Linked DNA regions of Tribolium castaneum. The protein of the gene in region 2 interacts with the protein of the main gene of each other region in a pairwise test. Links are inferred from orthologs where the notes say so. Each region holds a gene or a part of one and is shown on either strand. Other genes may lie near its edges.

Region 1 (7,376 bases), on a different chromosome or scaffold from region 2:
AATTTACATTAATTAAACTTTGTATTGGGGCTTTCAGTGAAAAGTGAAGAAACACGTGTTTTAGTTGGAAATACTAACGTCAAGGGGGTTGAACAGGGGTTGGAATTTGTATAAAAATCCATAATTTTTAATTTTTTTCCATGCAATTGGTACTTAAACTTTTGGTTAAAGATGAAAAACGTGTGTTTAAGTACATTTGGACTTTCTACCCCTAAAGGGGTTAAATACATATAAACATCCATCATTTTTGAAATTATATTTATAAAAATTGGTATTTAGCCATTCGGTGAAAAATAAAGAAACAAGTATTTTATTATTTTTAGAAATTACACCCTCAAACAGGGATAAACATAAAACATCGTAATTTTTGAAGCTATATTCATGAAAAATGGTATTTGATCTTTCGACTAAAAATGCAAAAAGACGTGTTTCTGGATTTTGGAAATTTCACTTCTAAGAGGGTTGAATATAAAAATGTGCCATTTTCCAAGTTATAACCGAGAAAATTGGTATTTGAGGGTTCATCTAAAAATAAAAAAACGCGTGTTTCAGGATTGTTGAAAATTCTACTCCAAGGGAATTAAAAAAAAATCCTTCATTGTTCAAGTTATACAGGGTGCTCAAAAACTGGCGCACCAACTCACTGATACGTTGTCGAAAAGCATGTGTAGATTACGGGAAAAATTTTGAAAAAATTTCTAAAGTCATATTTAAAAAAATATGGAGCTACAATCTTATTTTGTTAACTTCTTCAGTTCTCATTATTTGTTAATGTTTTTATGTTTCACACTAAGCAATCGATCCCATACACAATGATGAATAGTGATTTTTAAATTTACTATCAGACTTTAGCAGTTTTTTGAATTAAAAAAAAAAATTCATCAAAAAATCAGTTTGTAGATGTGTCAACACTGGGAATTATTTCCTAGGAAACCGTTTCAAAAATAATTTATTTTTATTGTTGATGAAATTCTATTGCAATCACGACTGTCCGACAACGTTGCCACATATCATTTATTTAAAATTCGTTATTTATCAATAACTCTAATGCAAGGAATTTTTTTACTATTTTTACCTTCATATAGAAGCAATTCTCTACCACACACCATTGAGTTGGTACGCCGGTTTTTGAGCACTCGGTAAATATAAAAAAACTTTATTGTTGAAGTTATACATATCAATTAATATCTTAGATATTCAGTTAAAAAGGAAGAGGCGTATATTACACCATTTTTAGAAACTCCACCCCTAATGGAATTAAATGCAAAACTCCTTCATTTTTTGAAGTTATATTCAAGAGAATTGGCATATGGACCTTTTTGAAAATTACATCCACAAGAGGGTTAAACAGGGAATGAGTATGTTTGCAATTATGAAAAAAAAAGCAAAATTTACTCGGGTTTGCATTGGATCACGGTTTTAAAGTTCACAATAAACTGATGTGTTTCTACTTTTTGTTATACTAAGTTTTGCATTGTTTTTCTGTGTTTATAAATGGTTGTAGACATGCCGTGGCCAACTGCTAGTTATTAATAAAATACCAAAGGTCCTTTTAACTCTTATAGAATTTTTTTCATTATGTTTCGGCCGTTACGCCATCTGTTATGTATTTGTGTCTGAGGTTGAAACAGCTCTAACATTATCAAAAATAATAAATAAGAGTTAAAAGGACCTTTGGTATTTTATTAAGTAATTAAAATGGTTCAAAGTTTAATCAATTATGACTCGTTAAACGTCGACCATTTGTGCCAAGTTTCATAAAAAAATTCTATGTCCTTGGTGTTGCAATTTTAATGACATTGAGATAGTTTATGATAAGATTTTCGCATTATGTTTATGTATTACTATTGAGGATTTATTGCACTATTTGCCTGAATTTTGTTTTTTTTTGGTTTGCTACCGTCCATTTTTTCAAATTCATGGTTCGGAAAACTAAGACGGTAATGGAACAACTGCGCTCTCTGGCGACATTAACGGAACTACCGAGAACGGGAACGTTTTATTGGTACGTCGTTTTATATCCTAACCTTGTGACATTTTTATCTCTAGACAGACTCAAACTGTAGCGACCTGTAATTTGTCACTTACTATAAAACTAACTGGAAGATGGCACCAGACTCATTTAAAAATTCAATGATTTGATTTTCTTTATGGAACATTTTTTTTTGCTTTTATTTACTTGTATTGTAAACGATATATTAAAAAAACTAGTAAAACTTATTTTTTTTTGAGTAACGTTTCCTAGTATACAGGGTGTGCCAAGATTGGTGCCAGCCCTATACTTCGAAAACGAAAATTTCTGAAATTTTGTACATGTTTGGCCATTATTAAAATCAAATCAAATCGGAGATTTGTCGGCAGATGCCGCCGCCCCCGGCGTGACGTCACTGCTCCGGTCCCCCAAAATCAATTGCAAGACGCGCGCAGATTGATTCAATAGTGACCTATATAGTGATGCCGCCATTTGTAGCTAGTTCAGTGTCTCCGTCCTTAAATTTTCACTAAAAACATCTAAAAAAATCGGGGTGAGTTTTAGTCACATTTTTTTGCTTCTAAACCCTTCGGGAAAATCCCTATTTAAATTGCCCTTGTTGACTACGTCGCGCTCTCGGGCTAATTTGGAAATGGAATTTTCCAAAAATTGCAAAACGAGGGGGAATTACCCAGTTTAGCCCCTTTTTAGGGGTGCAAAAGCGTTGCGAAGGGTGAGCGCGGACGACGGTTAGCTTTTTGGAAATTCCCCCGGAACGCATAAATAATTTTAAAATCGATACGAATCGCGTGACAAGTAATTATGTGAAATTTTTGTGTATGGTTAGTTCGAAGGGAGTAATGATGGGTTTAATGTGTGATTAAGGGTGGGTCGATTTTTTCGACTTATTAAAATTCCAGAGGCGTTCGTCGGTTCTGATGGATCGGAATAAAGACGGGCTTTTGATCGACCAGATTTTTACATTATTTTCACACTATTTTATCAGCGATGGGCTTAAAAGTGGTTTATTATTACATGAATCGATACATGTGTTGTAGCAATTTAAGAGTGATAAAGAGTTATCTATTAGATTAGTGCTTGAGAGGCTTCGACAGATTCTTGCAGCTTTTTCCACTTTTTGCAAGCTCTGTGCTAATGATAATTCGCAAAATCAAATATCAAAAAGTAATAATTCATTAAAATTAAATTTCCAATTTTTATTTTTAGACAATTCTGCACTGTGGCAATTTTTTAATTGGAACGTTAAAATAGCGACATGACAGTTAATTAGGCAAATATCAGCGGATATTTAAAATAATAAATTAGTGAAACACCAGTTTTTTGCTAACTTTTTGAACGATTTTTGATTGTCCTGATTTATTGTCAGAAGTGCATCAACTCAATATCCAATGACAAACACAATAATGCAATTTTTTTTAGATTTTACTGCCATTTATATACTTTTTAAAACTTTGAATACACAATAAATAAATCTAATTTTTCTGTAGTTAGCGCAATTTTTTAACATTCCTTAGCAGACTCATCCTGTAATCAAATATTTCAACGGGTACAAAAGTCAAAAATATTAGATATTAAATATTAATCCGTCGAATTTATAATCATTTTTATGTACTCATTTTGGACACTTACCTAGCTAATCTTTGTTAAAGGCATTGGCAACTTATTTTGCCAGTTCTATTTTTTAACGGAAATTTAAAATATCGCTCGTTCCATGCCAGTAGGTTTTTTTCAAAATTTCCTGGAGAAATAAGTGAAATAATCGCTTCGAAAGAAAGAAATCGTGACGTCACAACCGCCTTTCATCACTCAACCTTCTCAATCGTCAAAAACTTCACAGATATTTGAACATTTTTCACACATTTTTCACAAAATCAAAAATTAACTACTTTTTTGACTAATTTCTGTTCTAAATTTTGCCTTAAAAACATCTTACAATTGGACCAAATGCTCAATAGGCGGTTACAACGTCATAACTCCAACTTTAATTCGAAATAACTTGAGTTAGAGAGCAGATACAGAAGAACGGTAAGCACTTGCAGTACTATCATTTAAAATAAAGTTGTTTTTTAAGTTGCCAATGACTTTAAGAATTTCTAGTTTTTAAAAGTACTCATGCATAAAGTATGAAGTCCACACTTTGAAAAATTTTGTGAAGTCTTTTAGAATTTTCAAAATTGTCAATTGCCAAAATTCAAGGCTAGTAAGATTTTTTTTCAAAATGGTTTTCAAAAAACAGTTTTTTCAAAGGGAAGGACCATAATTTCTTAACGGTAATCGAAATTTATGGTGAATTTTATCAACATATCAATTTTATCAACGTGGCCCAGGGGGTGTAATCGGTCTATTTTTTGGTAATTGAAATATTGCTATGCTGTTTTTATTTTCCGATAGATAGACCTAAAATCCACAAACTAAAAATATTTTTATTATGGACAGGATGGTGAACCAAAGTTATATTTTTCTAAATGGTACACCCTAGATATTTTTGCATAATTGGAATCTACGCAAAAAATAATGTAACTATTATGGTCTATCTTTATCCGTTTTTGGAATTACTGAACTTTTCGTTATGAAAAGACCAATTTTTGAAAAATCAATCCAAAGTCCGGCAAATTTTGCAACAAAAAAATTTAGAATACCTTGTAGTTTTAGCAAATACATGACTTTTAGTTAAAGCAAGCTGATAATATACAGAGTGTGCCAAAACGCTAAAAGTGGAATAACTCATTGTTTTTTTTATGTATTGATAGCATTTTTGATAAGCTTTCTGACGGTATAGCAAATTTAAAATATTTTTCAAAATTTTTCGAAAAAAATCATTTTATTACAAGAAAATTTGTTATCCTAGAATCCTAAAATAAGTCAAATGGTAATTTATTTTTTGGTATGTACTAATGTGACTAATTACATTAGTAATCTAATTATTATTTGATACATAAATGAATTTTGCTCATCAAGAACTAATAATAAAATAAGTAAAAAAAATATTATTTTTAAACACTTTAAGAAATACTTCAAATTTGTTATGCAAACCGCATATCATTAGAAAGCTTATGAAAAATGCTATCGATACGTGTAAAAAATATATGGTGTTCCATTTGAAAAAAAATGAGTTACTCAACTTTTTGCGTTTTGGCACACCTGCGTGTTTTAAGTAAAAGTCGACTATTACTAAAACCAAAGCCAGTAGATATACTAAAGTAGCGACACGGACCTTGACAGGGCAACAATAACGATTATACACTCTACAGATGGCTCCACCATCAAAATTCAAAAACGTACGTCAAAAATGTCAAGATTTTCTCACGTTTGAAAAATTGGTGAATCAGAACAATAAATTCGGTGATCGTCTATAATTTCACCCTGGTTATTACTGTTTATGTGTACAGATACCATGAAACCTTCAAACCTGTGCTTCACTCACGTAAAGTAAATCAGATCTCCCTAAATTCAACTGAACATTGCAATGAGAAAGGCTTTTAGAATGCGCAGAATACAGCACCTCTTATGGACATTTCGAGGAAGGCGCTTCAATAGTGAATTCATTTCTTAAAGGAATTTGAACTTTATATTTAACGAAAAAGCCAACAACACGTTTTTAAATAATAGTTGTTGAACTCAAAAAATTTTGTTACCTACATTTCTAATTTTAATAAACTGCTCCCTAAGTGTTTTTACAGGTTATCGTATTTAATTACTCCAGGATTTTAAATTGGTCGATTTATTTTTTTTTTAATCAAATTTAATTTTTTCCCTCAACACTATTAACAACTGCTATGAAACCAAGACATCTTTCGCAATAAGAAAAGTAAGTGTTTTCAATATTACCCGAGAGGTAAACCGCAGAGGAAATCAGTGTACAAAATCAAGAAATTTTAAGGAAATCACTTTAAAAATTTAGGGAAAAATCAGAAGGAATCATGATTAAATCACAGGTGTACAAAATTTGGGGTACGGTTTACACCTCGATATTACCTAAGAAATAGAAATAATACAACCTGAATTTCTCTTTATTATTGAAATTTTGTATAACATAGTTGCTGTAAATAAGTGGCTATAAAAAGTCCACCAAACTTCGATGCGCTACAATTCCCAGATTTAGATGCATTAAATTTTCTGAAACGAAGGTCAGTGTAAGCAGAGCGGTCTTAAATTCTTTCCCATTAGGGCGGAATCTAATAATTTAGAATGAATTTTCAAGGAAGTATTGTTTAAATCTACCTGAAATACTTAATGAAAATTTGGTATCTTAGAAATTTCTCTTTCAAGCTGATACCTACCACTTTACATTTCTTAAACAAATTTTGTTTGAATGAGTTTCTAGTATTCTCACACAGACGTGTTTCGTAATGTAGACGACTTTGAACAGTCTGGAGGCTCCTTTGTTTAATGTTTTTGGTGTCGATTTATTATTTACGTGATTGAAGCACAGGTTTGAAAGTTCCATGGAATCTGTTCATAACCAATAACCACAGTAAAACTACAGATGAACACCAGAATCACTGTACTCTTTACCAATTTTTCAAAATGAGAGAATCTTGACAGTTTTGACGTATGTTCAAAATTACTGACAATTTGACGAACCTTTAAAATTACAGCGTTATTACAAAAAATGTCGAGCCTTGGAAAACTAAACTGCCTGTTTAAATACATTCTTGATTTAAATCTATCATCTAATGTGACCTTTAACGAATATCTCTTTAGAGCATCCCCTTTAGCAATTTCATTTAGTGAAGATTAAACGTAGAAACAGAGACAAAACGCACTTACTAAGGCTTTTCAAGGCTAGGCATTTTATGTAAATAATGCGGTATATGTCGAATTTCGATAGTTGCGCCCTCTCTAGAGTATATAATCGTTATTGTTGCCCTGTCAAGGTCCGTGTCGCTACTTTAGTATATCTACTGGCTTTGACTAAAACTACAGGGTATTCTAAGTTTTTCTGTTGTAAATTTTTTGGAAAATATTTATAGGCGACTTTGCAGTGAGTTTTCAAAAATTGGCCTTTTTTATAACGAAAAGTTGAATAATTCCAAAACGAAAAGAGTAGACCCATAATAGTTTGTATAAAGTTACATAATTTTTTTTGCGTGGAATCCAATTATGCAAAATTATATAGGGTGTTTCATTTAAAACATGTAACTTTAGTTCACCACCCCGTATTCAATACCCTGTGTACAATTAAAAAAAAATATTTGTGAACTTTAAATTGATCTATCTAAAAGTGAAAACGGCATGGCAATAGGCAATATTTCAAATAGTAAAAAAGTTATAATCCCTGTATATAACTTAGTGAATTATATAGTTTGCCATCAAATTTTTAACTTCTTGAATGAAAATTATAAACAAATCGAACATTTCTTTTAATTAACACCACAACTTT
Region 2 (6,672 bases):
ACATTACAATATTACTATGATCCACTCAAAAATATAAGATTGGACACTAATTTTAGAACGCAGAGAGTTTAAATTTTACGTAATTTAGTGATTTCTTGTCCCATTCTATTGAATTTTTTTAATAGAAACTTTAGTTAAAGAGTCGTTCAAAATAAGTTGTTTTCATCTTAACTATAGCACAAAACTTTCTTTAAAACAATGATATGGCGTCTTAAGTTATAAACGTTTACTCGTTTTTAGGCAAAAAATCAACCGAAATAAGCTATTTTTATCCAAATTATAACACAAAACTTGTCTTTTAAGCCATAATATGGCATTTTGACTTAGTTTTAAGAAAGTTAACTCTTTTCTAAGCAAAGAATTGTTTGAAATAAGTCGTTTTCATCTAAACTATAACATTTTTTTTTGAGTTTGTTTTATACCAGTTTACTAACTTTTAAGCAAAATTGTCCGAAATAAGCCGTTTTATCCTAACTATAACACTATTTGTTATAGCTTGCATAAGACGTTTTCAGTTTGTTTTGTACAAGTTTTCTTGTTTTTAAGCAAAGAATCATGCGGAATAAGCTTCTTTCCACCAAAGTCAAACATAAATAATTTTTTCAACTAGAATAAAACATTTTCTGTTTGTTCTATGAAAGTTTTCTTGTTTCTTAACAAAAAATTATCTGTAAATTTTATTTAAATTATTAAACGTATTGTTTCCTCTTTCCCGTCATAGGTCTTTCTTTTAAGCCAGAATATGGCGTTTTTAGTCTGTTTTAAGAAAGTGTACTCATTTCGAAGCAAAAAAATAGTCCGAAATGAACCAAATCAAACCAAATTATAACATTATTCGTTCTTTTGAAACTGAATAAAGCATTTTCAGTCTGTTTTTTTTAAATAAAGCAACAAATCGTCCGGAATAAGCCGTTTTCATCTAAACTATAACATAATTTTTTTTATGCTGAATAAGGCGTTTTCAGTTTGTTTTATATCAGTTTACTCATTTTTAAGCAAAAGTGTCCGAAATAAGCCGTTTTTATTCCAACTATAACACTATTTGTTTTTTTGAGTCTGAATAAGGCGTTTGTAGTTTGTTTTATAAAAGTTTTATAAAAATAGTCCGAAATAAGCCGTTTTATCCTAACTATAACACTATTTGTTTTTTTTCGAGCTTGCATATGGCGTTTTCAGTTTGTTTTGTACAAGTTTTCTCGTTTTTAAGCAAACAATCATGCGGAATAAGCTTTTTTCCGCCAAAGTCTTACATAAATAATTTTTTTAACTAGAATAAAACATTTTCTGTTTGTTCTATGAAAGTTTTCTTGTTTCTTAACAATGAATTATCTGTAAATTTTATTTAAATTATTAAACGTTTTGTTTCCTCTTTCCTGTCATACGTCTTTCTTTTAAGCCAGAATATGGCGTATTTTTTCTGTTTTAAGAAAGTGTACTAATTTCTAAGCAAAAAAATAGTCCGAAATGAACCAAATAAAACCAAATTATAACATTATTCGTTCTTTTAAAACTAAATAAAGCGTTTTCAGTCTGTTTTTTTCAAATAAAGCAAGAAATCGTCCGGAATAAGCCGTTTTCATCTAAACTATAACATATTTTTTTTATGCTGAATAAAGCGTTTTCAGTTTGTTTTATACCAGTTCACTAATTTTTAAGCAAAATTGTCCGAAATAAGCCGTTTTTATTCCAACTATAACACTATTTGTTTTTTTGAGTCTGACTAAGGCGTTTGTAGTTTGTTTTATAAAAGTTTTATAAAAGTAGTTTAAAACAAGCCCTTTTATCCTAACTATAACACTATTTGTTTTTTTTGAGCCTGCATAAGGCGTTTTCAGTTTGTTTTGTACAAGTTTTTTCATTTTTAAGCAAAGAATTATGCGGAATAAGCTTTTTTCCACCAAAGTCTAACATAAATAAGTTTTTTAACTAGAATAAAACATTTTCTGTTTGTTCTATGAAAGTTTTCTTGTTTCTTAACAAAGAATTATCTGTAAATTTTATTTAAATTATTAAACGTTTCGTTTCCTCTTTCCTGTCATACGTCTTTCTTTTAAGCCAAAATATGGCGTTTTTTGTCTGTTTTAAGAAAGTGTACTCATTTCTAAGCAAAAAAATAGTCCGAAATGAACCAAATGAATCCAAATTATAACATTATTCGTTCTTTTGAAACTGAATAAAGCGCTTTCAGTCTGTTTTTTTCAAATAAAGCAAGAAATCGTCCGGAATAAGCCGTTTTCATCTAAACTATAACATAATTTTTTTTATGCTGAATAAGGCGTTTTCAGTTTGTTTTATACCAGTTTACTTATTTTTAAGCAAAAGTGTCCGAAATAAGCCGTTTTTATTCCAACTATAACACTATTTGTTTTTTTGAGTCTGAATAAGGCGTTTGTAGTTTGTTTTATAAAAGTTTTATAAAAATAGTCCGAAATAAGCCGTTTTATCCTAACTATAACACTATTTGTTTTTTTTTGAGCTTGCATAAGGCGTTTTCAGTTTGTTTTGTACAAGTGTTCTCGTTTTTAAGCAAAGAATCATGCGGAATAAGCTTTTTTCCACCAAAGTCTAATATAAATATTTTTTTTTAACTTGAATAAAACATTTTTTGTTTGTTCTATGAAAGTTTTCTTGTTTCTTGACAAAGAATTATCTGTAAATTTTATTTAAATTATTAAACGTTTCGTTTCCTCTTTCCTGTCATACGTCTTTCTTTTAGGCCAGAATATGGCGTTTTTTGTCTGTTTTAACAAAATGTACTCATTTCTAAGCAAAAAAATAGTCTAAAATGAACCGTTTTCATCCATTATTTAACATTTAACATTATGTGTTCTTTTGAAACTGAATAAAGCGTTTTTAGTCTGTTTTTTTCAAATAAAACAAGAAATCGTCCAGAATAAGCTGTTTTCGACCGAAGTCTAACATAAATCATTTTTTGAATTAGAATAAAACATTTTTTGTTTGTTCTAAGAGTGTTATCTCGTTTCTAACCAAAGAATCGTCCGTAAATAAAAGTTTAAGCGTGTTTAAGCACATGATAAATTTGCACAAAATGTAATTTACACTCAGACGCCCTAACATACTAACGTTTCGTTTCCTCCTGTCGACCATCCTCAGGCCTTGATCGGAAACCTCAAGAATGCACGGTTGCGACTCCGGATCGCTTCCCGAATTTCCGATAACCCTCCTCACGGCTTGACAAACCACCGACGTCCCCTTGTGTGCTAACGTCTCCACCGACCCCAAATACCCCAACAAATACCGCTCCCTCCTCCCGTGCTCACACGATGAATCCCAATCGCTGTAATCACAGTCCACTGCATAAGCAGACGGGAAAATCCCCATCCTCCCCGTCCGCAGATTAACCCCTAAATAATAACAACACGATCAGTTTTATCGCAGCGCTCCAGCGCTCAAAGTCCCACCTTCCGACCAGAGATCGTCCGCCTCCTTCTGCACGTAGATTGGGTCCCCGATTTCCACCTCGATCTCGTCATCGTGTCGGGGAACAAACTTGTGAAGTCCCCGATGGGTGGCTTCCAGCATTTCAACGTCGTTGTACACCAGGCCTCCGTCGACGCACGAAGGCGATATGCCCATGATGGGCGACATGGATTTGAAACCGTCGGTTCCTGTGGGAGAATGGGCCGTGCTGTGGCCGCTGTCGGCGTCTGTGATAAGGCGCTCCGAATCGGGCGAGTCTGTGTCCCATAGATATCCGCATTTTAATACTAAGATTGAGCTTGGTCCGCTGCCTCCTCCCCCTGTACTGCCTAGTTCGTCTGCGAGAGACATTTCTCGAGATACGTGGTATTGTGCATTGTACATACTGACGACAGAAGCTGCAAAAATACACTGGTATATAATAAAGATTTAAAAATTGTTGGTAAAATGACAAGTGAAAACACTGTCAGTGAGTTTGACACGAAATAAAATGGTTAATAATTTTGGTGACCAAAGAGTTGAAAAGATAGTCCGTAAGGCGTGTATGTTGTGTAGTGTAAACTATAGCTGGTAAAATTCTCCGTAAATATTAATTTTTTCGCTTTGATTGCATTTGAGAAGCATTAACGTTTTTAATGTTTGGCAAAAATGGTGGATGCGCCGAGATAATAGTTAGTTTTGTAATTTGCCGCCATTTTGATGCTTTAATAGACATCTTAAAGCACTCAACATTATCAAGTGCAAAGTTATAATAGTCATTATTTGACTAAACATTTTATGAAATTTTTTATTTTGACAGGAACCAAATTCGCAACCGTATTTTTGTAAATTTCTTAAATTTCAAAAGGCGTTTTTGCAAGATTACCTTTAATATCATCCATACTCCTGTTTTTTGACCCAATTTGGATAAAAAAAAATGTTAATCAATTTATTACTTTCAAAATTGCGACATTACCAATCGTCAAAAAAGTCCCTAAATCTGTTAAAATAACAATTTTTGTTTAAAAACGGCAAATTACAAAAAATAGTCTAAAAAAATCGTTTCATGAGACTTTGAAGCACTCATTATTTCAAAAAATTTGTGGCCAATGCCACTCATTTTTGAAACTTGAATTCGTGTTTTAAGAATGATCTTATAAAACTTATTTTTTAATATCCTATTATTTAACGAGTTTGAGTGTAAATCGAATGTTTTATTTCACGAGTGGATTATCAAACCACGAGTGACAACAAGTGCTTTATCATCTACAAGGTAAAGTAAATGAACCGATTTATACAAAAAAGAGTTGAATACAACATTTTACTCATCTAATTAGACTCAGCAAGGCTTAAAATTGCTTTAAATCTGTTAAAAATAATCTGACGTTTTGTATTAAGAAACGCCAAATAGTTGTCAAAACTGTCTTACACTGGAGGAAAAACGAAAGTTATGACAGTGTCGAAAAATAAGATATTTTTATACCCATTTTATCAAAAAAATTAATGAGTAATTTACAGTATGCATTATTTTTCACTGAGCTTTAATATTTCTTATCTTTGTAATAACAAATAATGCATACTGTCAATTAATCATTTATTTGGTTTTGATAAAATAGGTAATAAACTAATTTTCCCAGCGCATCCACCATTTTTGCCAAACGTTGAATTCATTGTTACATAGAGTGTATAAAAGTAAATTTTATTGAAAGTAGGATTAAAAAAAAGAATCAAACTAGAAGTAACACTGGACTGACAAAACGGGCTATAAATTAGTAAACTCTTTATTCAAAAAAATCTTATGTTTTAACAAAATGAAACTACAACATTAACATTTATAGGACACTATACGAGTAGACACTCTGTGAAGAACAACTGTTTTAGTTCAGCTTAAACTTATTGTATTTAGCAGTGCTGTAATCGGACGTCACAGGTATAAACAACCAGTTACATGTGGAAAAAAAACATAAATATTTGTATTAGTGTAATTTCTTGTCGACTTGTTTTACAAGTGGTTTGTCATGAAGTCGTCTCAGGCAATAAGATGAGAATTATTTTAACAAACTTTATACGTTCTACTTGTTGCTTAAAAAATATGTATAAAGAATTAAACTCTTTGTAATAAAAAAAAAATTGAGTTATTTTACCTATGTCCAAATGTATTTATAGCCTCGATAATACGAACAGATGCAGTAGCCCTGGACTTTTAGTGTTTACACTTTTGAGATTGTACTGTAGTTTAAAATTTTAAAGTTATCATTTTTTACAAACTAGTGTGCAAAAAAATACGTTATGGACGTCCGTAAAGCCTAGTGATTTTCAAATAAGTTATACTGTATTACGGACTTTAGCTATTTGTTGTAATAAAAAAATTTATTGTCTTCGACATATTTCATGATAAAAACTCCAGATTTTTGTGAGAAAATTAAGTAAGAAATTGAACAATTTTAGAATAAAACAATATTGCTGTAGCTTCAACATCAATTTGATAATAACCAAAAATTTTGAGTGGTTTTAAGTATTTATTTTGAAATTTAGAATATAAAACTATTAATTTCTTTTATTATTGAAGTTTAAAAAAAAAGTGACAAAGCTACTTAGTTGCTAGAGGACACTAGCTGAGCAAAATCTTTTGCAGCGAAGCATTTAAATATTAGATGTCGCTCATAGGTAAGTTTTTAATTTCTTGCTAAAAAACGTACCCAAAAAATCAAAATTTTTTCTAAACTATATCTACAGATACATTTTCTTTTATTTATTAGAGGTTGCTGATAAACTGAAACTCATTAATTTATACTGGAAAACTCAAAAAATTATTTTTTCAAAACTCCAACAAGTTAAAGTTTCTGGAATTCTTAGAAATGCATATAATATTATTTGGAACGATAAAGTTTTTTATTTTCAGAAAATTTTTATAAACTAAGGAACTTATTTATCCTCGAAAACAAAAAAGAAATTTTTTCAAACTCAATCTAAGAGTGTTTTATGAACTTTCCAATTTCTTATGAAAGTCGAAGTACTAATGTTAGTATGACTATTAAATTAAATATAGAACAAATCTATTTTTTCTGATGAATTTATTTAGAAACAAAAATGACAATTTTAAAATTAGCCTTTATTTTAGAAAAATTTGAATCTTGATTCTATTTTTTCTAAAATCTTATTAAGTAATATAATAACAAAAGAGAAGATGAAGGAATTTGATCTTACTAATAAGGGTACAAAAACATTTCAATGTATTTTGACAAAAAATAC

Evidence for each region.
Region 1: the proteins of Aplip1 (region 2) and Rbp interact in a two-hybrid assay, tested with the Drosophila melanogaster proteins (2 studies listed by BioGRID). The link is inferred for Tribolium castaneum from reciprocal best matches to the Drosophila melanogaster genes Aplip1 and Rbp.

The regions. Positions count from the first base shown.
Region 1 is NC_087401.1:8,017,027-8,024,402, forward strand, and holds the start of Rbp (RIMS-binding protein 2), read left to right. Parts: upstream 1-2,401; 5' UTR 2,402-2,525; intron 2,526-7,376.
Region 2 is NC_087394.1:6,461,691-6,468,362, reverse strand, and holds part of Aplip1 (JNK-interacting protein 1), read right to left. Parts: intron 3,840-6,672; coding exon 3,423-3,839; intron 3,366-3,422; coding exon 3,085-3,365; intron 1-3,084. UniProt on the Drosophila melanogaster protein: The JNK-interacting protein (JIP) group of scaffold proteins selectively mediates JNK signaling by aggregating specific components of the MAPK cascade to form a functional JNK signaling module.